Linked DNA regions of Callithrix jacchus. The protein of the gene in region 1 interacts with the protein of each later gene in a biochemical or structural test. Links are inferred from orthologs where the notes say so. Each region holds a gene or a part of one and is shown in the gene's direction. Other genes may lie near its edges.

Evidence for each region.
Region 2: the proteins of RHOA (region 1) and CIT form a complex in vitro, tested with the Homo sapiens proteins (2 studies listed by BioGRID, with this or other methods). The link is inferred for Callithrix jacchus from reciprocal best matches to the Homo sapiens genes RHOA and CIT.
Region 3: the proteins of RHOA (region 1) and PKN2 form a complex in vitro, tested with the Homo sapiens proteins (2 studies listed by BioGRID, with this or other methods). The link is inferred for Callithrix jacchus from reciprocal best matches to the Homo sapiens genes RHOA and PKN2.
Region 4: of the proteins of RHOA (region 1) and SMURF2, one has a biochemical effect on the other in vitro, tested with the Homo sapiens proteins (3 studies listed by BioGRID, with this or other methods). The link is inferred for Callithrix jacchus from reciprocal best matches to the Homo sapiens genes RHOA and SMURF2.
Region 5: the proteins of RHOA (region 1) and ARHGAP35 form a complex in vitro, tested with the Homo sapiens proteins (3 studies listed by BioGRID). The link is inferred for Callithrix jacchus from reciprocal best matches to the Homo sapiens genes RHOA and ARHGAP35.
Region 6: of the proteins of RHOA (region 1) and ARHGAP32, one has a biochemical effect on the other in vitro, tested with the Homo sapiens proteins (3 studies listed by BioGRID). The link is inferred for Callithrix jacchus from reciprocal best matches to the Homo sapiens genes RHOA and ARHGAP32.
Region 7: the proteins of RHOA (region 1) and protein diaphanous homolog 1 form a complex in vitro, tested with the Homo sapiens proteins (2 studies listed by BioGRID and IntAct, with this or other methods). The link is inferred for Callithrix jacchus from reciprocal best matches to the Homo sapiens genes RHOA and DIAPH1.

The regions. Positions count from the first base shown.
Region 1 is NC_133516.1:32,003,057-32,007,066, reverse strand, and holds the start of RHOA (transforming protein RhoA), read left to right. Parts: upstream 1-1,210; 5' UTR 1,211-1,398; intron 1,399-4,010. Other genes in the region: TCTA (T-cell leukemia translocation-altered gene protein), read right to left, coding at 99-153, 569-791. UniProt on the Homo sapiens protein: Small GTPase which cycles between an active GTP-bound and an inactive GDP-bound state.
Region 2 is NC_133510.1:122,984,665-122,988,961, reverse strand, and holds the start of CIT (citron Rho-interacting kinase), read left to right. Parts: upstream 1-1,410; 5' UTR 1,411-1,470; intron 1,471-2,499; exon of another isoform or gene 2,500-2,530; 5' UTR 2,531-2,543; coding exon 2,544-2,639; intron 2,640-4,297. UniProt on the Homo sapiens protein: Plays a role in cytokinesis. Required for KIF14 localization to the central spindle and midbody. Putative RHO/RAC effector that binds to the GTP-bound forms of RHO and RAC1. It probably binds p21 with a tighter specificity in vivo.
Region 3 is NC_133508.1:125,999,043-126,002,642, forward strand, and holds part of PKN2 (serine/threonine-protein kinase N2), read left to right. Parts: intron 1-1,137; coding exon 1,138-1,288; intron 1,289-1,881; coding exon 1,882-2,027; intron 2,028-2,123; coding exon 2,124-2,337; intron 2,338-3,600. UniProt on the Homo sapiens protein: PKC-related serine/threonine-protein kinase and Rho/Rac effector protein that participates in specific signal transduction responses in the cell.
Region 4 is NC_133506.1:89,826,370-89,829,969, reverse strand, and holds part of SMURF2 (E3 ubiquitin-protein ligase SMURF2), read left to right. Parts: intron 1-1,256; coding exon 1,257-1,371; intron 1,372-2,969; coding exon 2,970-3,148; intron 3,149-3,600. UniProt on the Homo sapiens protein: E3 ubiquitin-protein ligase which accepts ubiquitin from an E2 ubiquitin-conjugating enzyme in the form of a thioester and then directly transfers the ubiquitin to targeted substrates.
Region 5 is NC_133523.1:40,832,110-40,836,462, forward strand, and holds the start of ARHGAP35 (rho GTPase-activating protein 35), read left to right. Parts: upstream 1-1,531; 5' UTR 1,532-1,846; intron 1,847-2,118; exon of another isoform or gene 2,119-4,353.
Region 6 is NC_133511.1:28,684,587-28,688,186, reverse strand, and holds part of ARHGAP32 (rho GTPase-activating protein 32), read left to right. Parts: intron 1-131; coding exon 132-2,387; 3' UTR 2,388-3,600. UniProt on the Homo sapiens protein: GTPase-activating protein (GAP) promoting GTP hydrolysis on RHOA, CDC42 and RAC1 small GTPases. May be involved in the differentiation of neuronal cells during the formation of neurite extensions.
Region 7 is NC_133503.1:40,050,032-40,054,386, reverse strand, and holds the start of protein diaphanous homolog 1, read left to right. Parts: upstream 1-1,515; 5' UTR 1,516-1,530; coding exon 1,531-1,725; intron 1,726-1,921; exon of another isoform or gene 1,922-1,981; coding exon of another isoform or gene 1,982-2,098; intron 2,099-4,355. UniProt on the Homo sapiens protein: Actin nucleation and elongation factor required for the assembly of F-actin structures, such as actin cables and stress fibers. Binds to the barbed end of the actin filament and slows down actin polymerization and depolymerization.

The DNA.
Region 1 (4,010 bases):
GGTGGGTTTATAGCCTGAGAACTCCCCTATCTGTCACCAGGACAGGATAGTCCTTGGAACGCCAAGCATGGGGGTGCAGTATGGACAGATTTACTCACCACGAAGGGAAATGCGTGGAGCCATCAGGCGTGGATCCATTCTGACCACCCAGACCTGGAGGCAAAAACACATCCAGGGCTGCAGCAGGCTGGGGTGGGGATCTGAGCAGGCATCAGCCCAGGTCAGGTTAGAGGCCACTGGTATTGTTTGGTGGAGTCTGGTGAGGGTCCTAAGGGACTAATGGTATTGTCAGGTGAGAATTCCGAGCAATAGATACAATGCGATCGGTGGACTGGTGGGGATTCTGGCGTAAAATGCTATGGTGGCAGGAGTCAGGGTACAACGTTAGGTTCTCCCATCGAAGTACCCTGCTTAGCTTCCGAGGTCAAATACATTCAGGGTAGTAAGGCCGTGAACCAATGCTAAAATCTCATGAGCCTCTTGCAGGATAGTGGGGAACCCAATGGTACAGTTCAGAGAGGGTAGCGGCGGGGGCAGCCAGCCCACGGAGGTTCGTAGGGAGCCTCACCTGGACGGTGATACAATCCGGTCACCGTATTCCCGTAGAACCCCCACGCCAGCTGGATGCCCAGGAGACTTAACACCAACCACAGCAGCAAAAACTTGAAGAGGGTCACGCGCATGTCCTGTGCCTCCCACTCCCGCAAGAACTCGCTGCCCAGAGCGCCCAGCGCGCCCAGCACCGTGGCCGGCAGAGCCTGCAAGGCCTGCCCAGACCAGGGTTCCGCCATGACTGGCCCACGCCCCACCTGGGGTACTGTCACCGTAGTCCCCAAGACGCAGGCGTGCGGTCTTCCAGGGCCCGGCCCGTCAGTGCGCACGCGCAAATTCAGGCAGGGAGGGGACTACTTCGCATGCGTGAAGAGTTGGCAGTTTGAGGCGGAGTATTAAAACGGCGCAGGCGCACCTAGACCCACCCAGCTTGCTTAAGGGTTGAGCGACTCCGGGAGTATAAAATAGCAACCAGGTCTTTTATAGCCCCAGAGTTCCCGTGATGCCCCACGCGGCTGCAATGATTGGTTAAGCGTTTTGCTTTTAGGGCGTGGATGCGCTCCTGAGCAATCGTGGATGAGCTGTGAGTGCGCGCGCGTGCGCGGGGCCGCGAACGGGGCCGGCTCGAGCCCGCTGGGCACTCGGGGACGCGCACGTCGTTCCCCGCCCTCCCGCCGCCGCCCGCCCTCGCTCTCTCGCGCTCCCCTCCCGCTGCCCGCGGTCCTCCGTCGGTTCCCTCGTTAGTCTACGGTCTCGTCTTCAGCTGCTCGTCTTCGTCTCCGAGCTTGCGACTCGCGGACCGGCGTCCCCGGCGCAAAAAGGCTGGACTCGGATTCGTTGCCTGAGGTGAGCAGAAGGGTTCCCTCCAGGCGCCGCGGCGCCCCAGGCCGGCCTGCCCAGCACTCTTCCGGCCCTCAGGCCGCCGCCCCGCCGCGGCCGCGCCCCACCGGCTGCTTCTGGCCCAGCCACCCCTGGCCCCTGACCCTTGACCTGACTCCCAGCCCCGGCCCCGCGCCCCAAAGCGGCGACCCCGCCCGCGCAGTCCCCGGAAGCGCGCCCCGTAGTCTCCAGTGCCCCTTCCCCCGCCCGGCCTGGCCTGGTGGAGCCCAAGCCGCCCGCCCGCCCTCGGTCCCCGGCGCTTCCTCTCCCGGCAGTGCCGGGCAGGGCGGGGGCTCTAGGCCGGGCCCCGCGACCGCGCAGTGTGGCCGGTCGCTGAAAGCGCGCGTGGCTGTTGGAGTTGAAATGGGAAAGAAACTCTTTACAACTCCATTTGCCTTTTGCATTTAACGAAAAAACGTGAATCACCGTTTTATATTGATTGAGATTCAGTTATACTTTGGGTAGGTTTTCTTTTAATGCAGACTTCTTGAAGACTGTGTAAGTAAAAGATTGTATTGAAAGCTTAGGGATCTTGTCTATCACCCGAACTCACCCGAACTCGCCTGAAAGCTTTGGGGTATGTGTTGAGTGGAAAAGCGGTTATTTTCCAGTTGGAAAAAAAAAAAACCTGTAAATGATTGAAGCGATGTTGCATGAAAATAGATGCAGTATGCTTAGTCTAAGTCATTGTATTGATTAGGAATCACCTAAACATTTGTATCTTACTGATTGGTCTACAGTTACAGGTCGTCTTCATTGAATGGCACTATTTACATCCAAATTGATTTGTTCACAAACCATGTTTAATAGTTTACGGTGAAAAATTAGAATCCTTTTTACCTCAGAGTTGGTTATACTTGTGTTTTTTAATAGTTCTAATTTTAAATTTACTTCTGTTGACTTGTTTGGTTCTTTTTGTCTCGAAGAAAGTCTTTTAAAATAAACGTTTCTTGCAGGTGTGTAAGCCGATTATGTTTGATTTTGCCTTTCTGAAGGAGAAAAAATTGAAAAACCAAAAAACTTCCCTAATTTCAAATGTTGTATGTAGTGGGAATTTTTCAGCCACTTGGTGTCATCCACCCAGATGTGTAATGTGTACCACGTGGATGATTGTCACCTCAGATGTGGCTAGACTGTCGGAGATACTGTTTTGAGCAATTGGCACAAGTGACATTGGACTGAAAAAAGGCTAGTTTTTAATGGTAAAGAATGACTTCTTGAAGGATCTCTGGATAACTTATCTTAATTGGTTCCATCTACTTTTGTGGAGCACTACTGGCTCTTGGAGACATTAAATATATAAGATGCACCCTGGTTTGAGTTAAAGTCTAGCGCTAGACTTATTTTATTCATTTATTTAAAGACGGGGTTTCACCATGTTGGTCAGGCTGGTCTTGAACTCCCGACCTCAGGTAATCTGCCCTCCTTGGCCTCCAAAGTGCTTGGATTACAGGCGTGAGCCACCACGCCCGGCCCTAGCGCTAGACTTATGCTCTCTGATCTCATAAAAATCTGTGTTGGAGGGAAGAAGAGAGTAGGAATACTTTGTAGTTCTTGAATTTTAGATCGAAGAGGAATCTTTCAGGACTGGGTGTCCAGCAAATGGTGTCAGACCCCATTCACAGATGAGCAAAGTGAGTCCCAGAGACTTAAGTAAATTTCCCAAGATTATGTACCTAGTCAGGAGCAGACCACAACTGTCTTCTCATTTAAGGTATTATTTTCCATTTACTCCCAATCAGTTGGCCTGCAGAGTCAGCTGAAAATCAGGACTTCCAGCTTATTCCAGTGTTTCTTCTTTTTTTTTTTTGAGACGGAGTTTTGCTCTTGTTAACCAAGGCTGGAGTGCAATGGTGCGATCTCGGCTCACCGCAACCTCCGCCTCCTGGGTTCAGGCAATTCTCCTGCCTCAGCCTCCTGAGTAGCTGGGATTACAGGCACGCGCCACCGTGCCCAGCTAATTTTTTGTATTTTTAGAGATGGGGTTTCACCATGTTGACCAGGATGGTCTCAATCTCTTGACCTCATGATCCACCCGCCTCGGCCTCCCAAAGTGCTGGGATTACAGGCTTCAGCCACTGCACCCGGCCCAGCGTTTCTTCTTTTATACCTTGTTGATGGTGAATAGTTCTGAAAATTCAGAACTGTAAGAAATTCTATTCTGTTCAAATTCAGAACTGTAAGTAAAAGACTGTATTGAAAGCTTAGGGGTCTGATGTACGGCCATACCACCCTGAACCCGCTGGAGCCCGTCTGAAAGCTTTGGAGTCTGTAGTGAATGGAATAGGGGTATTTTCCAGTTGGGGAAAAACAAAACTATAATGAATAGAATCTGAAAAATTCATTTGCCAAACAAATTTCAGTTCATTAGCTTTCTTTCACAGCGTTCTCCCCTTGTTGAGTGGATGGTCCTGCCTTCAACTGCGGGAGCTAGATGAATGTACAAAGGTCCCTGGCTTGCCTAATCATGGCTTTATTAAGTGTTTGGATTTTTTTTTTTTTTTTGAGACAGAGTTTCACTGTTGTTACCCAGACTGGAGTGCAATGGCACGATCTGGGCTCACCGCAACCTCCGCCTC
Region 2 (4,297 bases), on another chromosome or scaffold:
TATGAGTAGAATCATACGTCATTGTCTTGCTTCCTTCATTAGGCCTTATTTTGAGACTCATTATGTCTGTGGCTAGTTGCCATTTATTCTTTTTTATTGCTGTATGAAAACACTGCAATATACAATTTTGTCTTTTCTACTGCTGATGGACATTTGTGTTGCGTTCAGTTTTTTGCCACACGATTTTGTATTCTTATACACATCTCTTGGTGTACATACATTAAGTAGGAGTTGCTTGCCGGGCATGGTGGCTCAGGTCTGTAATCTCAGCATTTTGGGAGGCCAAGAGGGGCAGATCACTTGAGGTCAGATCAGCCTGATCAAAATGGTGAAAATACTCTCTACTTAAAAATACAAAAATGAGTCAGCCATGATGGCAGGTGCCTGTAGTCCCAGATACTCTTGAGGCTGAGACAGGAGAATCACTTGACGGAGGTTGCAGTGAGCCGAGATTATGCCACTGCACTCCAGCGTGAGAGACAGAGCAAGACTCCATCTCTAAATAAATAAATAAATAAATAAAATAAATAGGAGTTTCTGTTAGGTAGAGAAACTACTCCTAGCAATAGTTACAGAATGCACAAATCTTCAATGTTAATAATGCCAAACTTTTCTTTTTCAAATTTCAAACAGATCGTATCCATTTACATGCCTCCGGGTACTGTATAAGCGAGTGTACCTCCACATCTTCATACACACTGTCACATCCTTTTGTTTTCGAATTTGAGTGTGTGTTGTTTTTCACTGTGACTTTATTTTTCATATTTTCTGATTATGAAAGAGGCTGACACCTTTCATACGTTTCTTGGCCATCTGGATTTCCCTTTTGGTGAAGTGCCTGTTTAAGTATCTCGCATATAATTTATTTCAAAGTGTCCTTTCAAATGGTCTCAATGACTTTCATCAATTCCTTACACGGCAGTCAGCTGGGAGATGCAGTAATCAAGGCAAGTTGAAGTCAAGCTCAAAACATTGGCTGCCTCAGCTGTAGCAGAGAACAACCGGGTTTTCCCGGGTAACAAGTACTTCTACTTTAGCCACAGGAGAGAGACAAGAAGACCAGGCAGAGAGGCCTGGCTGCCTTCCTCCTCGCTGCTGGTCGAGGGCAGGGGACAGCGCCCTGGCGACCTCCTCAGGGATCTTAGATAAACTGTCGCGTACCCAAACGCAGCATCCTGCGTAACCGCCAATTTCAAACTTCCAAGACCTGCCCTGCGGGCTTTGCCCTTCCCCCTTTCCCATTGGTCGCGAGTCAAAGGAAAAAACAAGTGATTGGCTCTCCCCTTCACTTCCTCCGTCCCTTTAAGGACATGGGCGGGGCCTGGCTGAAACGCCCACGTCTATCATAGGAATGGGCATGGTGATTGGTCCAGACACGGCGGAGACCCGCCCGCGCCGTTCGTCGAGTTCAAACGCGGCGGCGGGAGGAGCGGGGCGGAGTACACTGCACACCAGCGGGGTCCGCTGAGCGTGAGTATGATCCTCTAACCCTAATTCTACCTCACCCGCTCTGCAAGGCCAGGGGAGGGCTGCCTCCACTCACACCAGTCCTGGCTTTCCCTTCCGTCGCTGGAAAGGCGGCGATTCCACCTTCAGGGCTGTTGGAGGCCTAGAGGGTCTTCCCGGGCTGTCTGTGCGCGCGCCCACCCTCCTTGGGAGCCGAGGGGTCCGCCGGGTGGTGCTGGGGCGGGAGTCATGTTCCTTCCCTAAAGCGGGCGGAGTCCTGTATCTCTTCAGCTCTGCCTCCTGTCAGCGCTAACTATTATTCTGCCCAGTGCAGTCAGCCAGTTCCTTATTACCTGCGTGATCTTAGCAATTTACTTAACCTCTCTGTTTCATTGTCTTCATACCCCATGCCCACCCCATCACCTCCTTGATGCCCCCACCTCTTTCGCTCTGCTCCAGTCCCTCTGGCCTCCCTATTTCTATTGGAGAGTCCAGGTCCTGTCTCAGGGCTTTTGCCTTGGCTGTTCTTTGGCCAGGGATATCTTTCTTTCCCCAGATATCCTCACGGCTTGCTGGTCACCCACATCCGGTCTTCAAGTCTTAGGTCAAATGGTGGCTTCTCAGTGAAGTCTTCTTTGATCACACTAAAAATGGCACCATCTCACCCCCATGTCCTTATTTTGCTTGGTTTTGTTTTTACCCCATAGCACTTAACACCTTCCAACAAGCTGTAGAGTTTGCTTATTTCAGTCATTCATTTAATAATTATTTATTCACACCTACTATGTGCCAGAGTATGTGTGCCCCCATGTAAAAATCTCTGCCCTTGTGGACCTTCCATTCTAAGGAGGGAGATATTAAACACATTTATAAGAAAGAAAGTATGTCAGATAAGTGTATCACCTCCTGTTATGGTGAGTGAAAATCTAGTGTTTAATCTCTATGATTAGAGTGAGCTTCCTAAAACTGGAGTTGTAGCTGATTTTCACTTCCTTGCCCCTGATATCTTGAGGGAGATCAGGGTCTCTCAAGCTCTTCCTGCCCAAACCATAGGACACACTTGGCTTTTCCGACATCCTTTCAGCACCAGTGGGGAGATGCTGAAGTTCAAATATGGAGCGAGGAATCCTTTGGATGCTGGTGCTGCTGAACCCATTGCCAGCCGGGCCTCCAGGCTGAATCTGTTCTTCCAGGTAACAGCCTCACCTGCCAACTTTGCTCACCTGTGTGTTTCCTTGGAACCTCCTTGTCACTCACCTTTGCTTTTATTTATTTAGAGTCTTACTCTGTCGCTCAGGCTGGAGTACAGTGGTGCAATCTCGATTCACTGCAACCTCCGCCTCCCAGGTTCAAGCAATTCTCCTGCCTCAGCCTCCAGGGCAGCTGGGACTACAGGCACCTGCCACCACGCCTGGCTAAGTTTTGTATTTTTTTTTTTTTTTTTTAAGTGGAGATGGAGTTTCACCATGTTGATCAGGCTGGGCTCAAACTCCTGGCCTCAAGTGATCCACCTGCCTTGGTCTCCCAAAGTGCTGGGATTACAAGTGTGAGCCACCACGCCCTGTCTGCTTTTATTATAGGACCAAGGATAATATTTTAGGAGAAATTCTCTTTTGTTTGAAACAAGGGCTTCTGTTGACTATAGGCCTGTACCACCATGCCCGGCCAAGATTTTAATTTTCTGTAGGGATGGGGTCTTGTTATGTTGCTCAGGCAGGTATCAAACACCTGGCATCAAGTGAGCCTCCTGCCTTGGCCTCCTAAAGCACTGGGGTCATAGGCGTGAGTCACTGCACCTGGCCCTCTATTTGGAGTTTTGTTTTATTTTTTTTGAGACAGAGTCACACTCTGTGGCCCAGGCTGGAGTGCAGTGGCCCGATCTAGGCTCCCTGCAACCTCTGCCTCCTGGTTTCAAGCGATTCTCCTGCCTCAGCCTCCCGAGTAGCTGGGATTACTGGTGCGTGCCACCACGCTCAGCTTAATTTTGTATTTTTAGTAGAGATGGGATTTCACCACTTTTGTCAGGCTGGTCTCAAACTCCTGACCTTGTGATCCACCTGACTCTGCCTCCCAAGTGCTAGAATTACAGGCATGACCCACAGCGCCCGGCCCTATTTGGAGTTTTATATATGTACTGATTGTATTGGAAAAAGGACATTGCAGAAGTTGATAGCTGAACTTGCCTCAGAAGGGAGATCTTTTCATATTTCTTACACTTTATACTTCTGTACTAAAGTTTGTTCGTTGTTTGATTGATTGATTGATTGACAGGGTCTCACTTTGTGGTCCAGGCTGGGGTGCAGTGGCACAATCATGGCTCACTGCAGCCTTGACCTCCTGGGCTCAAGGGATCCCGCCACTTCAGCCTCCCGAGTAGCTGTGACCACAGGTGCGGGCCGCCACACCTGGCTAATTTTTGTATTTTTGTAGAGATAAGGTTTCATCATGTTACCCAGGCAGGTCTCTAACTCCTGGGCTCAAGTGATCCACCTGTCACAGCCTCCCAAAATGTTGGGTTTACAGGCATGAGCTGCTGCACCAGGCCAAGTTTGTCCTTTTATTAAAGAAAGAAAAATAAATGAAGAAAGATGCTTTTTTTTTTTTTTTGCGATGGAGTCTCGCACTGTCACACAAGTTGGAGTACAGTGGTGTGATCTTGGCTCATTGCAACCTCTGCCTCCCAGGTTCAAGCAATTCTCCTGCCTCAAACTCCTGAGTAGCTGGGACTACAAGCACGTGCCACCACGCCAAGCTAATTTTTTGTATTTTTAGTAGAGACAGGGTTTCACCGTGTTAGCCAAGATGGTCTTGATCTCCTGACCTCGTGATCCGCCTGACTTGGTCTCCCAAA
Region 3 (3,600 bases), on another chromosome or scaffold:
TGTGTTAGCAGATAAATGGATAAAGATACTGTGTGCAGGGTTTGCGTGTGTGCGCGCGCACACGCACACATGCACACACGTATATATGTGTATATACACAATGAAATATTGTTCAGCTTTAAAAAGGGGGATACTGGCCAGGCGCGGTGGCTCATACCTGTAATCCCAGCAGTTTGGGAGACTGAGGCAGGTGGGTCACAAGTTCAGGAGATCGAGACCATCCTGGCCAATATGGTGAAACCCCGTATCTACTAAAATATATAAAAAATTAGCCAAGTGTGGTGGTGCACGCCTGTAGTCCCAGCTACTTGGGAGGCTGAGGCAGAGGAATTGCTTGAACCCAGGAGGCGGAGATTGCAGTGAGTCAAGATCACACCACTGCACTCCAGCCTGGCAACAGAGTGAGACTCCATCTCAAAAAAGAAGCGGGCGGGGGGATACTGCCACATTGACAGTATGGGTGAACCCAGAGGACATTATACAAAGTGAAATAAACCAGACACAGGAAGAGAAATGCTGTATGATCTCACTTATCTGTGGAATAAAAAAAAAAAAAACTGAATAAATAAAAACAGAGAGTAAAATACAGTTACCAGCAATAGAAGTAATGGGGAGAAGTAGGTCAAAAGGTACATATTTAGAGTTAGGTAGGATGAGTAAGTACAGAGATCTAATATATAGCACGGACTGTAGTTAATATTATATACTGAAAATATGCTAAGAGAATAGATTTTAGGTACACATAAAACCATACACATAAAAATGAGTAACTGTAGAGGGTGATGGATTGGTAAATTTGTTTGACTGTAATAATCATTTCAGTATGTGTATATATACCAAAATATCATGTACACCACAAATATATACATTAAAAAATAAATTTAAAAAACACATAGCCGTAATATTTACTTTTCTTCCATACTGTCTTAACTAATGGAATTGTTTTTCCACAAACTTTACCCTGTAAGTTTTATGGCTCTTTTTTTGTAAATCTATAAGATTATATATTATAATGCTAACAGTTCTTTTAATGCTGTTTTTCACTTGCTGATATATCACTTGATCTGTTTAGAAGATATGAAAATGTTTCATTTGTCCCTTTATTTGCTTTACTTTTCAAACTTATTTTTTAAATAGGATCGGAAACTCCATGGTACAGCTCAGCAACTGCTCCAGGACAGCAAGACAAAAATAGAAGTAATACGAATGCAGATTCTTCAGGCAGTCCAGACTAATGAATTGGCTTTTGATAATGGTGATGGAATAAATTGTCCTTCTCCTTATGAGCGTATGGTGCTAAATAATCTTATATAGGAACAGGGCAGTGGTTCACAGTTAAGGGGGAGGAAGCATTATTATTACTATTTTTTTTTTTTCATCTTGAGTTTTACACTATTTAGTTGGATATTTAGTTGGCTTTTAGATATTTGGCCCTTATGTTTCAAGAAGATATTGATCTAGAAAGTATCTCTTCATTTAAATAGATTATCAAATACTTCTAATCAGTCTTTATTTTTTTTTTAAATTCTGTTTCCTGTTTAAGATTATGGCTTTGTTTTCTTTTGTTTTGTTTAATTCCAGAAGAAATCTTTACAGCTAGTTGCTAAGAGTAGGAGTAGAAACTTTCAGTCTCCCGATGTTACAATATTTGGATATCTTTCAGTTCTAAAATCTTTTTTTCAGCTTTGTAATTTAGATGTGTAATGACAAAAATGAAAGGCTCTGAATTTTAACATGTATCAACTATTATTATTTTAGTGTTTATTGATGTAGGAACTAACTTACTGTAATGTTATAATAATTTATTTCTTTTCACAATTTTAATCACTACGAATTGGAAAGCCAATAAATGGTGCAATTAAATTTTTTTTTCCCTTCTAGCAAAACCTGTGATAAGTCCTCTTGAACTTCGGATGGAAGAATTAAGGCATCATTTTAGGATAGAGTTTGCAGTAGCAGAAGGTGCAAAGAATGTAATGAAATTACTTGGCTCAGGAAAAGTAACAGACAGAAAAGCACTTTCAGAAGTAATTTTAAATAAAAATTTTTATTTGGTTTAATAAATGCATTATTCAAAGTATGTGATTATTTAAGTGACAACAATTGTCTTTTCTCTGTGCAAGGCTCAAGCAAGATTTAATGAATCAAGTCAGAAGTTGGACCTTTTAAAGTATTCATTAGAGCAAAGATTAAATGAACTCCCCAAGAATCATCCCAAAAGCAGTGTTATTATTGAAGAACTTTCACTTGTTGCATCACCAACACTAAGTCCACGTCAAAGTATGATATCTACACAAAATCAATATAGTACACTATCCAAACCAGCAGCATTAACAGGTATGTGCTGTATATCCTTTGTTTTTTGTGTGTATTTTTGTCTATATTTGGTTCTGGTTTAGTAATTGAAAGACAAACCTGTGCATAATTTTTTTAAAATGATGATAAGATACACATAGAATAAAATTTATTGTTTTAACCATTTTGATTTTATTAAATTTGGAAGTATTTAGTATATTCACAATGTTGTGTGACCATCACCACTACCTAGTTTCAAAGCATTTTCATCACCCCAAAAGGAAACGCATGACTGTTAAGCAGTCACTCCCCTTCCCCCTTCCTCCCAGCTGCTAGCAGCTACTAATTGTCTGTCTCTACAGATATGCTTATTCTAGATATTTCATATGATAGGAATTATATGATTTGTGACCTTTTCTGCCTGGCTTCTTTTACTTAGTGTTTTCAATCAGTAAAAGCATATTGTTTTCAAGCTTCATTCATGTTACAGTGTGTATCAGTACTTCAGTCACTTTGAATGTCTGAATAGTATTCCGCTTGTGGGAATATTCCAAAATTCAAAAACCTTTTGTGCACCCAACATGATCCTCAAAGGAAATTCTCATTTTGAAGTATTTTGGATTTGGGATTTCAGATTTCCAGATTGGGGATGCTTAACTGGTATGTATAATATAAACATTCCAAAATCTAAGCTACTTCTGGGCCCAGGCATTTCAGGTAAGGAATACTCAACCTTTACCATATTTGGTTGATGTGTTTGTTGAGCATATGGGTTCTTTCTACCTTTTTGACTATTGTAAGTAGTGCTGCTGTGAACATTTATGTGCAGGTTTTTGCTTGAACATCTGTTTTTAATTTGGGGGTATATTCTTAGGAGTGTAATTGCTAGGTCATAAGGCAGTTATGTCTAAGATTTTGAGGAACTGTCAAACTGTTCTTCACAGCATTTATATCATTTTATACTTCTAACAGTAATGTATAAAGTGGGTTTCAGTATCTCCAAATCCTCACCGACACTTACTATTTTTCTTTCTTTCATTCTTTTTTGATCATGTTCTGTTGGTTCCATTATTGGAAGTATTGTAGTATGTCTAACTGTTTCTGTAGAACTGTCTATATTTTCCCTTCATTTATGTAAATTTTTGTTTCATATATTTGTGGGCTCTGTTGCTAGGTTCATGTATGTTTACAATTTTTACATCTTCTATTTCTTTTTTTTTTTGGGGGGGGGGAGGAAGGCAGGAAGGAAGGGAAGAAGGACGGTAGGGAGGAAGGAGGGGATGAAGGAAGGAAGGAAGGGAGGAA
Region 4 (3,600 bases), on another chromosome or scaffold:
ATGTGTCTGTAATTGCAGCTGCTCGGGAGGCCGAGTCAGCAGAATCGCTTGAACCAGGGAGGTTGCAGTGAGCTGAAATTGCGCCACTGCACTCCAACCTGGTGACAGAGCAAGACTCTGTCTCAAAACAAAAACAAAAACAAACTACAACAAAATATACCCTTGTCCAAAATTAAGAGTAAATCAATACTATAGTATATGTCTATATAGTATCGTGGTATAACTCTGCCATGATAGTGGATCTGGATAGTACAGATTATGTAGACACTTTGTTTTTGAGACACGGTCTCACTCTGTCACCCAGGTTGGGTGCAGTGGTGCAATATCAGCTCATTGCAGGCTCGACCTCCGGGTCTCAAGCAATCCTCCCACCTCAGCCTCCGAAGTAGCTGGGACTATAGGCATATGCCACCAGCCTGGCTAATTTTTGTATTTTTTGTAGCGATGGGGTTTCGCCTTGTTGCCCAGGCTGGTCACAAACTCCTGAGCTCAAGCGAACCACCCGTCTTGGCATCCCATGGTGCTAGGATCACAGGTGTGAGCCATTGCCTCCAGCTTCACACAGACATTTTGAAATAAAACCATATTTTTCCTTTTGTTTTGTTTATTATGGATTACAAATTTATTTGGCAATTAAAAGTAACAGACCAGGCTGGGCGAGGTGGCTCATGCCTATAATCCCAGCACCAGGCCAAGGCAGGTGGATCACCTGATGTCAGGAGTTCGAGACCAGCCTGGCTAATATGGTGAAACCCTGTTTCTACTAAAAATACAAAAAATTAGCTGGGTGTGATGGCGTGCTCCTGTAATACCAGCTACTCAGGAGGCTGAGGCAGGAGAATTGCTTGAACCTGGGAGGTAGAGGTTGCAGTGAGCCGAGATCACACCATTGCACTCCAGCTTGGGCAACAAGAGGGAACCTTTGTCTCAAAAAAAAAGGAAAAAGTAACAGATCACCAGACTATATCATCTTGTGAGTAGTTGAACTGATGGATAATACTGTTATACTCTGACTAAAATATAATAAAATTGCTTAAATTTTGAGTGAGATGTTACTTCAGTGTAATGAAGTAGAGTTTTTATTTGCTGTTTGGGCATGGTAGATTTTTCCCAATGTGGTCTTATATAACTGTACTTAGTGCTTTTTTGCCTTTTATGATTAAAAAAATTATTTCTAAAATGATTAATTAATGGCCTATCTTAACAGAAATATATACATTATCAAAAAAATTCCATGATCATATCTTGTTTTCTAGGGAATGGTTGTATCTCTTGTCACATGAAATGTTGAATCCATACTATGGCCTCTTCCAATATTCAAGAGATGATATCTATACATTGCAGATCAATCCTGACTCTGCTGTTAATCCGGTATGATTTGTTGTTATGATGATGTGAATTAAGTTATGACCTATAATGCTTTTCATCTTTACATGTTAACATAGTTTATTATTTAGAAATTTTTGTCCTTGTCCTAGTTGTACCCTTTGACTCAGCAACTCCTCTTCTACAAAGTTTTCCCAAGCAGATGATTATGGATGTATGCTACAGTTTGGAAACAGGGATGTTTACTGTTTATAGTAGCCCCCAACTGAAAACAACACACTTGTCTTCAAGAGGGGAGACTGATTAAATTATGACATGAAGCAGAATAATGCAAGTGATTAAAGTCGTAGATTCTGGAATTAGAAAGACATGTCATCGTCTCATCACTTACTAGCTTTGTGACCTGTCAGGGCAAGTTCATGGACGTAAGCTTCAATTTTGTCATTGCTAATACATACGTTTGTACCTGGGAGAGGGGTTATGAGAATTAGATGGGACGCTGTACATTAAGCATTTAGCACAGTGCTGTATGTTATTAACTCCACAACTCTATCGACTACATTATTAAGCACTCAACAGAAGTTAGCAGTTATTACTAATGTACTGTTTTTTTGTATTATTTTGTCTTTCCATACAAGGGCATACTAAACAGTCACTAAAATAATAATGTGAGATAATAGTTAATGATATGGAAAGATGGTGTTTATGATGTAAGTGAAAAGAAGGTTATGAAATAGTTTAATGCAACTTTGGTAAATTGTGTGTGTGTGTGTGTGTGTGTGTGTGTTTAAAAAAGAAAAACTTTTTAAGATAAAAAGGTTTAAAGAGGAGCTTAAAAGATTACTTAGTAAATGGGTAAAATAATTTAAAAATACAAACATCTAACAAAACAATCTGTGACGACTGACCAATATATGCAAACAGGGTAGAAATGTTAGATTTCTTTCAGAAAATTATTTAGGGAGGATTTTGAGGTGAAGGTTGCTTGGAGGGCCCACTGCTGCCACTGCAGTGATGATAGCCCACACTCATTGAGTGCTTACCTATGCCAGGTCCAGTTGCATGGGTTTCAAACATCACCTTTTACTCCTCATAGAGATGCTTTTTTAGATGGATACTGTTATTCTATTTCCAGATGTGGACAGTTAGTCCTACAGGAGTTAATTTGTCCATATGCCAGTGACTAGTAGAATCATGATTCTAATCCAAGTCTGACACCAAATCTGTGCTCTTAAATCTATGGTGTTTTGATATTTAATTTCTTGTTAGGCCAAGGAAGTAGGGAGGTTAAGGATTGAAAGATTTTTTTCATAGCAAGGGCTCAGCAGGAGGTGAGAGAAGGAAGAGAAAAGGATCTCCAAGTAGCCGAATGAAGCGCTGGGGGACCATAGTTTGGACTTAATTTCTAAAAGATAAAATTGACAGAATGACTGTGAGAAGGGCCTATTACCCTGTGTAATATGTTGTTCTCTGGTGATCTAGAGACTCCTGAGCATGCCCTAGAGAAATACTCCCTCCTGGCTATATTGAAGAGTACAGATTTGATGCTTACTCTCAAAATATTAATGTTGAAATATTTCATTTTTATTAAAATTTTCCTGAGTAATTTCTGACTCAAGTATATATGCTCTTTTCAATTTCAGGAACATTTATCCTATTTCCACTTTGTTGGACGAATAATGGGGATGGCTGTGTTTCATGGACATTATATTGATGGTGGTTTCACATTGCCTTTTTATAAGCAGTTGCTTGGGAAGTCAATTACTTTGGATGACATGGAGTTAGTAGATCCAGATCTTCATAACAGTTTAGTGTGGATACTGTATGTATTGGGTCTTCTATCGCTTCATTATAGTTAAACTCTGAGCTTTTTTTAAAAAAAAATGTTTCAAAACTGATGTACTTAAAAAAATGACCATACACAGAAAATATTGAGTGGTTATCTGAGTGATGGGATCACATAAGATTTCCCCCTTTCTGTAGCTTCTTTATGCATTTCAAATTCCTTAAACTTAGCAAGTTTACTACGTTCTACGTTAAAAAGGAAAAAAAACTAGTATATTCTATTTTTAAAAGTACTTTATATAATGATTTCCTCAATGTGAGGCAAATCCTGTTCCAAACCTGCATGTGTTAGAATAGCAAATTCTTGCTGCCATTGCTTTTAATGAAGTGGTGATTGTTGGAACCATACTTTTGGAGTAGGGGCTAATTGTTGAATTTAAGCTAAGAATTGATTCTGTTTTGCAAGAGGTCATTCTTTTATGAAGATAC
Region 5 (4,353 bases), on another chromosome or scaffold:
ATGATCCCCAGAGCTTTACAGAACATAATCTACTGAATTTCCACAGCAGCCCTGCGAGGGAGGGACGATTATTATTATTTTGAGACAGAGTCTCGCTCTGTCACCCAGGCTGGAGTGCAGTGGTGCGATTTCGGCTCACTGCAACCTTTGTCTCCTGGATTCAAGCGATTCTCCTGCGTCAGCCTCCTGAGTAGCTGGGATTGCAGGCGTGCGCCACCACGCCCGGCTAATTTTTGTATTTTTAGTAAAGACGGGGTTTCACCATGTTGATCAGGCTGGTCTCGAACTCCGGACCTCGTGATCCACCTGCCTTGGCCTCCCAAAGTGCTGGGATTACAGGCGTGAGCCACCGCGCCCGGCCTATTATCCCATTTTAAAGATAAAGAGACTGATGGCAGAATTGCAAAATGTAATAGGGAACATCCCTTTTTCATGCATTCCACAAATATTGGCTTGACGCCCGGGAAGTTCATCTTCCAGGATCCATACTTCCGGAGGAGTCCCAGAGGAAACACCTCTTCAGTTCAGAGGAGTCAAGGGTGACAGCGGTGCCCTCTCCCATCACTACTATTTCCCCTTCAGGCGCCCTAACTGACATTTGATTTGCAATCATTTGCACAATGCGAAGTGACAGGCTTGAGCTGCACATAGGACCAGGCCGTCTTCCCTCTCCTGGGGAATCAGATCACAGAACCAAAAACAAGTTGTATGGACGCGCGCGTTGCCTGCAGATTTTCTTCACCGCCAAGAGAAAGAGCACGCGCTCTCCAACCCCGCCTCTTCTTCCGGGAGGACGAATTGCGGGCCTCCGATTGGGGTGAGGCGGGCCACGCCTCCTCACAATGTCCAATCAGCTCCCTCGCTGGGTGCGCTCCCTCCTCAGCCCCGCCTCACCGCCCCACGTTACGTCGCTCCTAGTGGCCTCCTCCGTTATCCCGGGGGCTGCGGCTGGCGCGGCGGCAAACCCACCTCCACTTGCTTCCCATTGGTTGGTCAGGTCCCGCGCGAGCGGGATCGCGCCCTTCGCCCCCCACCCCCAAAACCGGGCCATGCCTCTCTCCTTTGGCTTTCTCCAGGAGCCAGCGCGAGGCGGCAGATCGGCTCCTTGAGGCGCGCGCAGGGACGCGCGCTGCTCTTGCAAGCCACTGCCTCCGCCCCGCGACAGCAGCCGCGCCGGCTGGCAGCCCCCCGCGCACGCGCACTCGCCCACCCTGCTCCCTCTGCTCGTTTGCAGGTTGCCTCGCGCTCGGTCTGGCTAAGGCGGCCGCCGCAGTAGCGGCATTTTTGGGGGACGCACGCGCACTGCACCGTCCGCCGCCGTTCCTGGCCCCAGGCAGTGGCGGTGGCAGTGGGATCCCTCGGGTGCGCACACGCTCTGACCTCTCCCCATTGCCTCGCGCTGGTTGTCCCTTCGGGGCGCGCGCTCAGGGGCCGTTATACCCCTGCAACGGTCCCCGGGCCGCGCACGCGCAGTAAGGAGGGGGCACGCGCGCGGGAGCGGCCGTCGCAGGAAGGAGGCGCCGCCGCCGCCATTGCGAGGGAGGGAGGGAGCGAGCGAGGCTGGTCCGCCCTCCCCCTGGTTCCCGCCCCTCCCCCCTTCCCCTCCCCGCCCCCCGCCCCGAGGGAGAGCCGCGGCGCGGCGGGAGGAGGAGGTGGAGGAGGTGGAGGAGGCGGAGGAGGGAGCCCGCGAGGGAGGGTCTGCCCGGCCCCCCGCCGCCGGAGCCGCCGCCGCCGCCGCCTCCGCCTCGGCCGCTGCTGGACTAGGAGCAGGGGAACATGGCGCCGGGGCCCCCGTCGCCGCTGCCGGGATCCTTGAGGCCGGGGCCACGCTGAGGGCGCCCAGCTGGTGAGTGCGCGAGCTCGCGGGCCCCGGGCGGCGAGGCCGGGCGCCGCCCCGCTGCGGGGTCCAGGGGGAGGCGGGGACGGCGGGGCCCGGAGCCCGCGAACAATGGAGGAGCTGGAGGGGGAGGGGAGGAGCGGCCCCCCAGTCCCCCGGGCCCCGCGGTCCCGGACTCTTCGCGCGTCGGCCCGGCCCGTGGGGCCCTCCTGCCCTTTGGACTTGCCCCTGCCCGCCCAGCCTTGCTGTCCCCGCCGCCGCCCCCACCCCCTACCCGTTGAGATCTCGGTGTCTGCCTCGCAGCCTCCCCGACTTCAGCCAACCGGCTCCCAATTCTGCGCCCCCCTTCCCTTTTCCGCCCCTCCGTGATGCCCTTCGCTCTTCGCGGGCTCTGCACTGGCACCCGCCTTCTCACTGACCATTCTGCATCCCTGAATTGTGGCTCCCACTTTCGAGATCCTTGACCCTTCTGCCTCTTCTCGATTCTCTTCTCAACACCCTTCAGATCTGTCCTCGGCCCCTTCTTTGACCTACCTGCTATGCTATTATTACTGTCTCAGAATCTGTTGCACCTTGGGAGCTGTCCCTTTAGGACCTGCGGTTCTAACCCCTTGGAGATCCATCGGAGACCACTGTTCGGCTAAGCACTGCTGCCCCAGGTCTTCCCCTTGGACTTAATGCCGTTCCCTCGTGGGTCCTACTGCTCGAATTTCTGTCTCTGCCCTTTCAGCGTGCTGCACCCCGGAATGCCCCTTGGCTGCCTCTCTGACCCCTCCGTGCCCCAGTTCATTCCCTGGATCCCCTCGGACTTGGCTGCACCGTGCTTGCCGCCTCCACTTCTCAGCTCTTGCTCCCGTTTGCCATTCAGACCCTTTCCTCTCTTCCAGACCTTTCCGCCTCTCAGCTCTGCCCCTTGCCGGACCTCAGGTCTTGCTGCGCTCCCCTCACCTGATTGCTTTCTGACTTTGCCTTCCCGGGGAGCAGCCTCCTCCCCCTTCTCTGACTCTGCAGGTCTCCCATTTCTGCCATTCACTTAACTGATCTCTCCGTCACTCAGTCTGCCTTCAGTTTCAGCCCCAGTGTTCTCTTGCAGGTTTCCTCTCCTCCCCACCTCCTTTTTGGCACTCCTCTGAGCTACTGCATTCATTTGCTACTCCTTTCTTTGGCCTGTCTCTCCTTCGGTTCTCTGTCTAAAAACTGCTTCCTGTCCCCTCTTTGCTCCAAGTCCTCTCTTCCCCGTTTTGGCCCTTAGACGTGCCCTTTAATCTCACTGTACCCTGTTAACTCGGGCTGCATCTCCCAGACCTGCCTACCCACCCACCCCCATCCTTTTTGCACCTGCACTTTCTCCTCTTTTTTTTTTTTTTTTTTAAATTCTGCTCCATCCTCTTTATTGTAGTGTTTGCCTCCCCAGCTCTGCCCCTTTCGGAGCTGTCCACTTGCCCGCACATTTTTAGACCCGTTTTTCACTTCTCTTGCCGTTCTATCTCGGAGTGGTCCTTTAACACCGGGATTCTTATCACCGTGTCCTCCCCTCCGTTCCCTCCCGAGTCTGAGTTTTCCCCCTTGGCATTCTCTTACCCCCACCATTTTGATTCAGCCCTCAACCTTCACTGTCTGCTTTCTTTGCCCACCCTCCACTGCCCTGTCTCTTCGTGGAGTTCTTACTCTAATTCTGACATTAAGATGTCTTCTTAATCATCCTTTCCTATGTATCCCGGCCCCCCCCCACCGCCCTTTTGGAGCTGCCTCAGCGCTGTGATAGATTCTCACTCCCTTTTGATGTCCCTTTCCCAATTCTGTTTCTCCTTGACTTGTTACCTTCCTCACCTTTTTTTTCTTTCCCCTGTATCCTGCCAGGCTTCTCTTCCCGTGTAGTTCCTATTAGACCTGCTTCTCGCAGCTCACCTGTGGCCCACCCATTCCCCATAGAGCTCTTCCCCTTTCAGGCTTGTCTTTCTCTGTTCTCCATCCCTCTGCTGCAGAGGCCAAGAGACTAGATTGGGCCTTAGGTTCTCCAGGCTCTGAGACTGCAGATTCTCTCTCTGCACCCTAACCCTGAGGGTTCTATCCCCAGGGATCCTGGGAGATCTGGGTAAATAGGTGGGGATTGGTTGATTGTTACTGCTCTCTGGAGTCTGGGAGTGTCTCCCCCATTTCTCCCACTTCTACCAAGGTTAGTAGTGTGGAGGGAGGTAGCACTCTTTCCGTTGCCCCATTTTCTTTCCTCTGCTGTTTGCTCTCCCCCTTCCGTTCTCTGGGCTTTGCAGCTTTGTGTCCTTTGGAAAAGGGAAATGCAGCTGCTCACAGATCTTTCTTCTCTTTCTCACTTTCCCTCTTTCCGTCTCTGAGCCATTGCATCCACCCTCTCTCCCCTTCCACCTCTAAGCCAGCACCCCTAGGAGTGTACTTTTTTATTTTTTCTTCCCAGCTAACAAGTCATTTTGTTTTTCCTCTGCTGGGTAAATGCCAGTGTGCCCGTTCTTAAATTCTCCAGATCCCGCCAGGGGTTATGG
Region 6 (3,600 bases), on another chromosome or scaffold:
GATTCATTACAACCACATGGCTTGGTTCAATCTGCTACCCAACCAGCCTCAATTTGTGAGTTACAAATTTATTAGTACTTGATTCATAGAGCAAACAAAACATAGACCATAGTATTATCATCTTTCAATAGGTTCAAGGAGTAGTTCCAGTTCCAGAGAGGCCACTTGAACCTCGAGCCATGGATGATCCTGCATCTGTCTTCATCAGTGACGGTGGTGCAGCTGCTGCTCAGTGTCACATGGCTACAGCTGTCCAGCCAGGCCTGCCTGAGAAAGTGCGGGACGGTGCACGGGCCCCACTGCTGCACCTGCGTGCCGAGTCTGTCTCTGCGCACCCCTGTGGCTTTCCTGCACCACTGCCCCCGACCAGGACGATGGAGAATAAGATGACTGCTGCCATACACTCCAGCAGTACAGATGCCACCAGCAGTTCAAATTATCATTCCTTTGTCACTGCTTCATCCGCCTCTGTGGATGATGTGTTGCCTTTACCAGTTCCTGTCCCACAACCTAAGCATGCTTCTCAGAAAACAGTTTACTCCTCCTTTGCTAGGCCTGATGTCGCCGCTGAACCCTTTGGTCCAGAAAACTGTTTGCATTTCAATATGACTCCAAGCTGCCAGTACCGTCCCCAGAGTGTACCTCCACATCACAATAAATTGGAGCAGCACCAAGTATATGGTGCCAGGTCAGAGCCACCAGCCTCCATGGGTCTTCGTTATAACACATACGTGGCCCCAGGAAGAAACGCATCTGGACACCACTCCAAGCCATGCAGCCGGATCGAGTACGTGTCTTCTTTGAGCTCCTCTGTTAGGAATGCCTGTTATCCTGAAGACATTCCGCCGTACCCTACCATCCGGAGAGTGCAGTCTCTCCATGCCCCGCCATCTTCCATGATTCGCTCTGTTCCCATTTCACGGACAGAAGTTCCCCCAGATGATGAGCCAGCCTACTGCCCAAGACCCCTGTACCAATATAAGCCATATCAGTCCTCCCAGGCCCGCTCAGATTATCATGTAACTCAGCTTCAGCCTTACTTTGAGAATGGCCGGGTCCACTACAGATATAGCCCATATTCTAGTTCTTCTAGTTCCTATTACAGTCCAGATGGGGCTCTGTGTGATGTGGATGCCTATGGCACAGTCCAGTTGAGACCCCTTCACCGCCTTCCCAGTCGAGATTTTGCTTTCTACAATCCTAGACTGCAGGGAAAGAACTTGTACAGTTACGCTGGTTTGCCTCCACGTCCCCGGGCCAATGCAACTGGCTATTTCTCTCCCAACGACCATAATGTAGTCAACATTCCTCCGGCTGCTGATGTAAAGCACACCTACACCTCATGGGATCTTGAGGACATGGAAAAATATCGCATGCAGTCCATCCGGAGAGAGAGCCGTGCTCGGCAGAAAGTGAAAGGGCCTGTCATGTCTCAATACGATAATATGACCCCAGCTGTGCAGGATGACTTGGGTGGGATCTACGTCATTCATCTGCGGAGTAAATCAGATCCTGGGAAAACTGGACTTCTCTCAGTGGCAGAAGGAAAGGAGGGCCGCCACACAGCCAAGGCCATCAGTCCCGAGGGAGAGGACCGCTTCTATAGGAGGCATCCTGAGGCAGAGTTGGATAGAGCTCACCACCACGGAGGCCATGGTAGCACGCAGCCGGAGAAGCCATCCCTTCCTCAGAAGCAGAGCAGCCTGAGGAGCAGGAAGCTTCCCGACATGGGCTGCAGTCTCCCTGAGCACAGGGCACACCAGGAAGCAAGCCATAGGCAGTTCTGTGAGTCAAAAAATGGGCCCCCGTATCCCCAGGGAGCTGGCCAGTTAGATTACGTTTCCAAAGGGATTCCAGACACTTCTGAGCCAGTTGGCTACCATAACTCTGGAATAAAATATGCTGCATCTGGGCAAGAATCTTTAAGACTGAACCACAAAGAGGTGAGGCTCTCCAAAGAGATGGAACGGCCTTGGGCTAGGCAGCCTTCTGCCCCAGAGAAACACTCCAGAGACTGCTACAAGGAGGAAGAACACCTCACTCAGTCAATGGTCCCACCCCCTAAACCAGAGAGGAGTCATAGCCTCAAACTCCATCATACCCAGAACGTGGAGAGGGACCCCAGTATGCTGTACCAATACCAACCACACGTCAAGCGTCAGAGCAGTGTGACTGTAGTGTCCCAGTATGATAACCTGGAGGATTACCACTCCCTGCCTCAGCACCAGCGAGGAGTCTTTGGAGGGGGCAGCATGGGGGGGACGTATGTGCCTCCTGGCTTTCCTCATCCACAGAGCAGGACCTATGCTACGGCTTTGGGTCAAGGGGCCTTCCTGCCCACAGAGTTGTCCTTGCAGCATCCTGAAACACAGATCCATGCAGAATGAGCCCTGGGAGCAATAGAGTTGAAGCAGCCTCTGCTGGACAGTGGACTGTTCTATTTTTTTCAATAAGCAAAAAGATTAAAAAAACAAAAAATACTATAAAACTCCTGACAACATTTAAAAAAGATAATAAAAGTAAACAAATCACCATCTTTTTCCCCTTCCCTGCTTCATTACCACCTCTTCCATCTATAGACTTGTCATTTTTGTCTTTTAAAAAGATCTGAAGGATGGTAAAGCCCTGTGCTGAAACCTAGTAGAGAAATTTGTCACAGGCTATACTTGCCATCTAGGGCTAGCTTGAAAGAGCTTGAGGACTGCCTTTCACTGAATCTGAATTCAGCGTTGACCTTTCTTCTTAGTATTTGCTGAGAAATTGAGAGCAGTTCACATGGATTTCCTGGTAGGCTTCTGCATTCCCTGTTGTGTTCCTGCTTCTCCTTCCGTAGCTGCACAACTTGCCCAGATCGACACACTGTTCTCACTTCATTCTCCCCATCTGAGAAGGATCTTGTGTTCAGTTAGAGTAATGGAAAAATCCCTGATCCTTCAAGATCAGTCAGTCAGACAGTTAGCAATATTATAATTAAAAATAAGAAATTAAGACTTTAAACATTTGGTAGTGTCATCATAAAACATCAGACCAGTTAGACTCAGGCTAAACCATACTCTTTATATTTTTTTCATCCTTGTTCCTCACAGTTCAATGAACAGGCTCATTATGACAGAAGGAATTTTTAAAAGTTCGAATTTAAGGAAGCTTCTTAGGTGAAACAAAGTTAAGTTCTCATTGCCAGTGAACTTTGTTAGCACCAGTAAACTATATCCATGCTTTTATTGCATTGCCCGCCTTCAGGTTTTCTTCTTCTTCCACTCCTCAATAATATTTGGTGAATTGTAATTCTAGTAAAACATGTTATACCATTGATTTTCCTAAATTACCAACTTTCTTTAATTAAAAAAACAAAAAAAACCCCAGCATGGTTTGACTGGATAGACACACATAGTTTATTATGGACATAAATTTACATGTTTGTTTCTGTTTTTAAACCAGAGTACAGGGTCCCTGGGAATTATTTAAGTAGCTACGAGTTATCTATTATTAGACTGCAAGTTCCCGCAATAACCACTTAGTACACAGCCCCATTTCACCAGTTGGAGTTCTGGGCAGTTATCATTGCTGTCCTAAGGCATTACTGTTGTTTGCTTACTCTGT
Region 7 (4,355 bases), on another chromosome or scaffold:
CTTCGATTTTTATTTTATTTTTTTTGAGACGGAGTTTCGCTCTTGTTACCCAGGCTGGAGTGCAATGGCGCAATCTCGGCTCACTGCAGCCTCCGCCTCCTGGGTTCAGGCAATTCTCCTACCTCAGCCTCCTGAGTAGCTGGGATTACAGGCATGTGCCACCATGCCCATCTTTTAGCAGAGATGGGGTTTCACCATGTTGACCAGGATGGTCTCGATCTCTTGACCTCATGATCCACCTGCCTTGGCCTCCCAAAGTTCTGGGATTACAGGCTTGAGCCACCACGCCCAGCCTGATGACTTCAATTTTGAATCTGGTTGTTGAGAGTAGTGATGCTAGTTGGTGAAGATACACTGAGATTAAACATGTGAAGTGCTTAGCACAGGGCCTGACATAAAAAGTTGCCCATTATCTATGTAAACAACAATGCTAAGTACTGTTAGTAGCCACAAACATGAACCTTTCTCTGGAAGAGTTTACAATCCAGTCAGTAGTATGATAAATATTATAGCAGATATAGACTGGCACAAGAAAGAAGGGTGATAAATGGATCACTTCCTCCCCTCCATCCTCTGATTCTGTCTGTTCTCAACACAGCTTTGAAAGTAGCTTTTGAACTTTTTGGACAAAAGGCCTGGAAAGCTCAACACTAAGTCAAGTTTGAAGTATGGGATGGACAACTCTATGTAACATTCTATCAGGTCACTGTTAGAAGCTCTGGACCATAAGAGAGATGAATGTCAGATTTAGGAGACAGCCAGCCTGGCAGAGTCCCTGGTATATCTCAGGCCCTTGACGAGGCACTGGGGCCCTAGAGTGAGTAAGTCACTGACTGCCCTTGAGTAACTTACACTTGAAATCTTGCTAGCTGTGGTCAAGATGATTCAGTCCATATTGTGATGGCCAGCTGGTAGCCATATAACTGTCACACAGGGATAGATGTAGCTAGGAGAGTGGATGAAATTGCTCAGGGAGAAAGTCATGCTAGAAGAGCAAAGAATATACTTTTGGAGAACACCCATTCTTTCATGTTTGGTTTATGTCAGTGGGGAATTCTGGTTAAACATAGGGCTTGGCAGCAAATCAGACTAAGCTGGGTTTAAATTTTATATCAATTATGCCTTCTTGGGCAAGTCACTTCAACTCTCAAAGTCCAAATTTACTATTTATAAAATGGTGAGCCTAGCGGAATCTATCACATGGGACTGTGGGGACTTAGAAAAATACATGTACAGTGTTTTGCATAGTGCCTAGAAGACATCAGGGGCATGGTTAAGTGGTAACTGTTATTGCTGTTTAGGTACATGTTGGCAATAATTAGTTTGTTCTGTAGGAAATTAAACTCCAGAGCGAGTCTGGTTTACTCCAGTGCTTGCACTGGACCGAGCTCTGTTCTTGGCACATTGCTTTCAAAACATGGGAGCTGTCACTTTCATAATTTTTTCATGTGTTCCATGGGTATTGCACACATTAAAAACTGCATTCTTATGCAAAGCCTGGCACTACTTTTCTGCCAGGATAATGGTCTCATGCTATTTTTGGTCTGGGGTGTGACAGGGTCCAAGCTGTCCGGCTGTACAGCCAAGTGGGCGCACCGTGGGAGCAGAGAGGCCTGCCCTGCTCCAACCGCCAGGGGGCGGTGCTCCCTGCCGTGGCCGCGGAGAGCTGCACCTCCCACTCGCCACCCCGCGACGTGGGTCCGAATGGTTAGGTCCGTCGGGCAGGTAGCGCGCTTCCGCGGCTTCCCTCCACCCCTCTCCCTTCCCCCATTGGTAGGGGCTGCGGGTCCGGGCGGAAGTGGGGCAGGCGGGCGGGAGCGAGGCGTCATCGTTGTATATTCATGAGGCGCGCGCAGCCCGGCATGCTAATGAGGCGGGGCGCGGTGGCTGGCTAAAGAGTGGCTGGGCGGCGGCGGCGGGTGCTGAGCTGCCGGGCGGGAGCGGCGTAGGCGCGGGGTCACCGGCCAGCGTGAACCGGGACATGGAGCCACCCGGCGGGGGCCTGGGGCCCGGCCGCGGTACCCGGGACAAGAAGAAGGGCCGAAGCCCAGATGAGCTGCCTTCGGCGGGCGGCGACGGCGGCAAATCTAAGAAATTTGTGAGTGTCCCTCCCACACTACTCCTGACCGGCCCCGTAACCGCCCTCTGGACCCCTGCAGCCGGCCCCACGGGCGTCTGCCCGGCTCTGGGGAGCCGCCCCCGCGCCTCCCTTCCTCGTTTCGCTGGTCTGCGGCTCTGCAGCCCGACATCCTCCGCCTCCTGGACAGCGGGAAGCCCCGGAGTCTCACCCTGCTCCTGCCCCGGCCACCTCGGGGCTTCCCTCGTTCCCTAGCCCGCACGTCTGCCCTCCCGCCCCCATAGCCCCGGCCGGCTCTCAGCCCCATCTCTCCCCTCTCAGCCTCACTTCCTTTCTTCTTCCTCTAGTACCCGAACACGCCTCCTCTTTTTTGGTCCCCTCTTCTGGGTCCATTTTCTCTTCTTACCCTTACCCCTTTTTTTGGTATTCTCGTATTTCCTTCTCCTAAAGGTCACTTCCTTCTCCATGATTGATCCTTTTTACCTGCTAACTTTCGTCCCGCCCAGTCCCCCTGGGCCCTTAGCCCGGTGTCACCTGATAATCCTTCCCCTCAGGAATGTTACCTGACTTGAGCCCTACCCACCCCACCCTCCTCTGGACGTTTATCCTTGCCATTACGGGAACAGGTTCCTGCCCAGGTCTTAGAGCCACTGGGGCATGACGTTTATTTGCTTAACAGTATTCCTCTATCCAGAGAACCTGTCTCTTTGCCCTGTTGCTTGTCACTTTTCAGAGGGTTAGAACGCTAAGCCCTTCTTGACCTAGGATGATGATAAATCTCTCCTGTGGGAAGAAAGTTGGACTGCGAGTTCAAGAAGTTTGTAATTGAATTTTTTTTTTTTTGCATTTCCCGTGATAACCATCTCCTCAACTCCTTTCCTACCGCCTCTTGTTCCCCAAAGCGGCTACTGGTATCCCTTTGCGTTCCTCAAGTGCCAGTTACTTTCAATCCGAGTCTGAAGGAATATTGATATTCATGGAACCCTATCGTATTTCCTTACCTTTTGCCCACATCAACGCTTCTCTCCAGGGAGCCGTTTGGTTGCTTTTTGCTATAAAAGCTTTGGAAGATATGGGGCACTGTCCAGAAGAGGAAAAGAGTCTTGGATATTGATGATCATTATAATAGCTGGTTATAACTGTAGCTCTTTTGTCTCCTCTTCCAGGTATTTATGCCCTTAGCCTAGTGTATCTTTCTACTAAACAAATGGCTTGTAACTCTTACCTCTTTCTCTTAGTCCTACCTCCCAACATTTTGATCCAGCTCCACAAATTTGGGAAGAAAACTGATAAAGTGATAGAAACTGGAAGAAAATGTTGTTTCGTGACCTAGAGGGTTGAGATGTTAACCCTGGAGGGTTAGGTGTTTAATTCTAAACAGAATTAAAATCGTGACTCATCTCTTCCTGTTCCTAGTAAGACCAAGTGCTCCTGGACTGTCCCCAGTGACATCTGAGCTGTCAGTAACCACCTGTTTTTATATGATGAACACCTTTTTTCCCCCCTAGAAATAATAGGGTTAAGAGTATTGACACCCCTTCCTTCTTTGGTGTCTAACACAGCATTGACCCCCCGCCCCCGCACCTGTCGGTTAGCTTTCCTTCCAAAACTTAAGTTCTAGGGCTCATATTCCTTCTATTTCTCTATCTTTTTGTTTTGATTTTGTTTCCATGGGTACTGTTTGACCTTCCTCACCCGAATTCCAGCTATCGCTGCTGATTCGTGGTGACCTCTGTGACTTGTTTTCCAGTCTTGAGTAGACTTTTCTGTGTGTTTTATTTTTATCTAACAATTGTTTAGTTCACCAGTTGTGAAGTCTACTATGTGTGTGGTGCTGCAGGGTGAGAAACCTGAGGAAGCTAAGCCTCTTTTCACCTGTTTTGGAATGTCCATGGTGTCTTCTGTATGCTTAGTGGATTTGGCTCAGGGTTGTTGGTATTTGCTTTAGAGAGGGTGGAGCTGAACCAAGTTCTCTTTTCTTTCTTCGGTGTTAGTCTTAACCCTTAATCTGCTGAATTTTTAAAACTAGATAGCTCAGGTAATGAGGAAAATTGCATTAGTAGCTAGGAATTGGAAGGTTTCTAGGAAAGTAGTGCTGCTTAACCCTTGTATTGCCAAATGTAACCTGTCTCAAGGCATCAGAATATTCTGTCTTACTCGTTGCTCTTTTTATGAGAACTCTGTGGAAATGAAAGAGAAGGAGGAGCATTGCAATCCACTTCTCTTTATGTCTGTGTATGTATATGTGGGTGGGTGGAGTGGGTGAGACTGCTGGTGT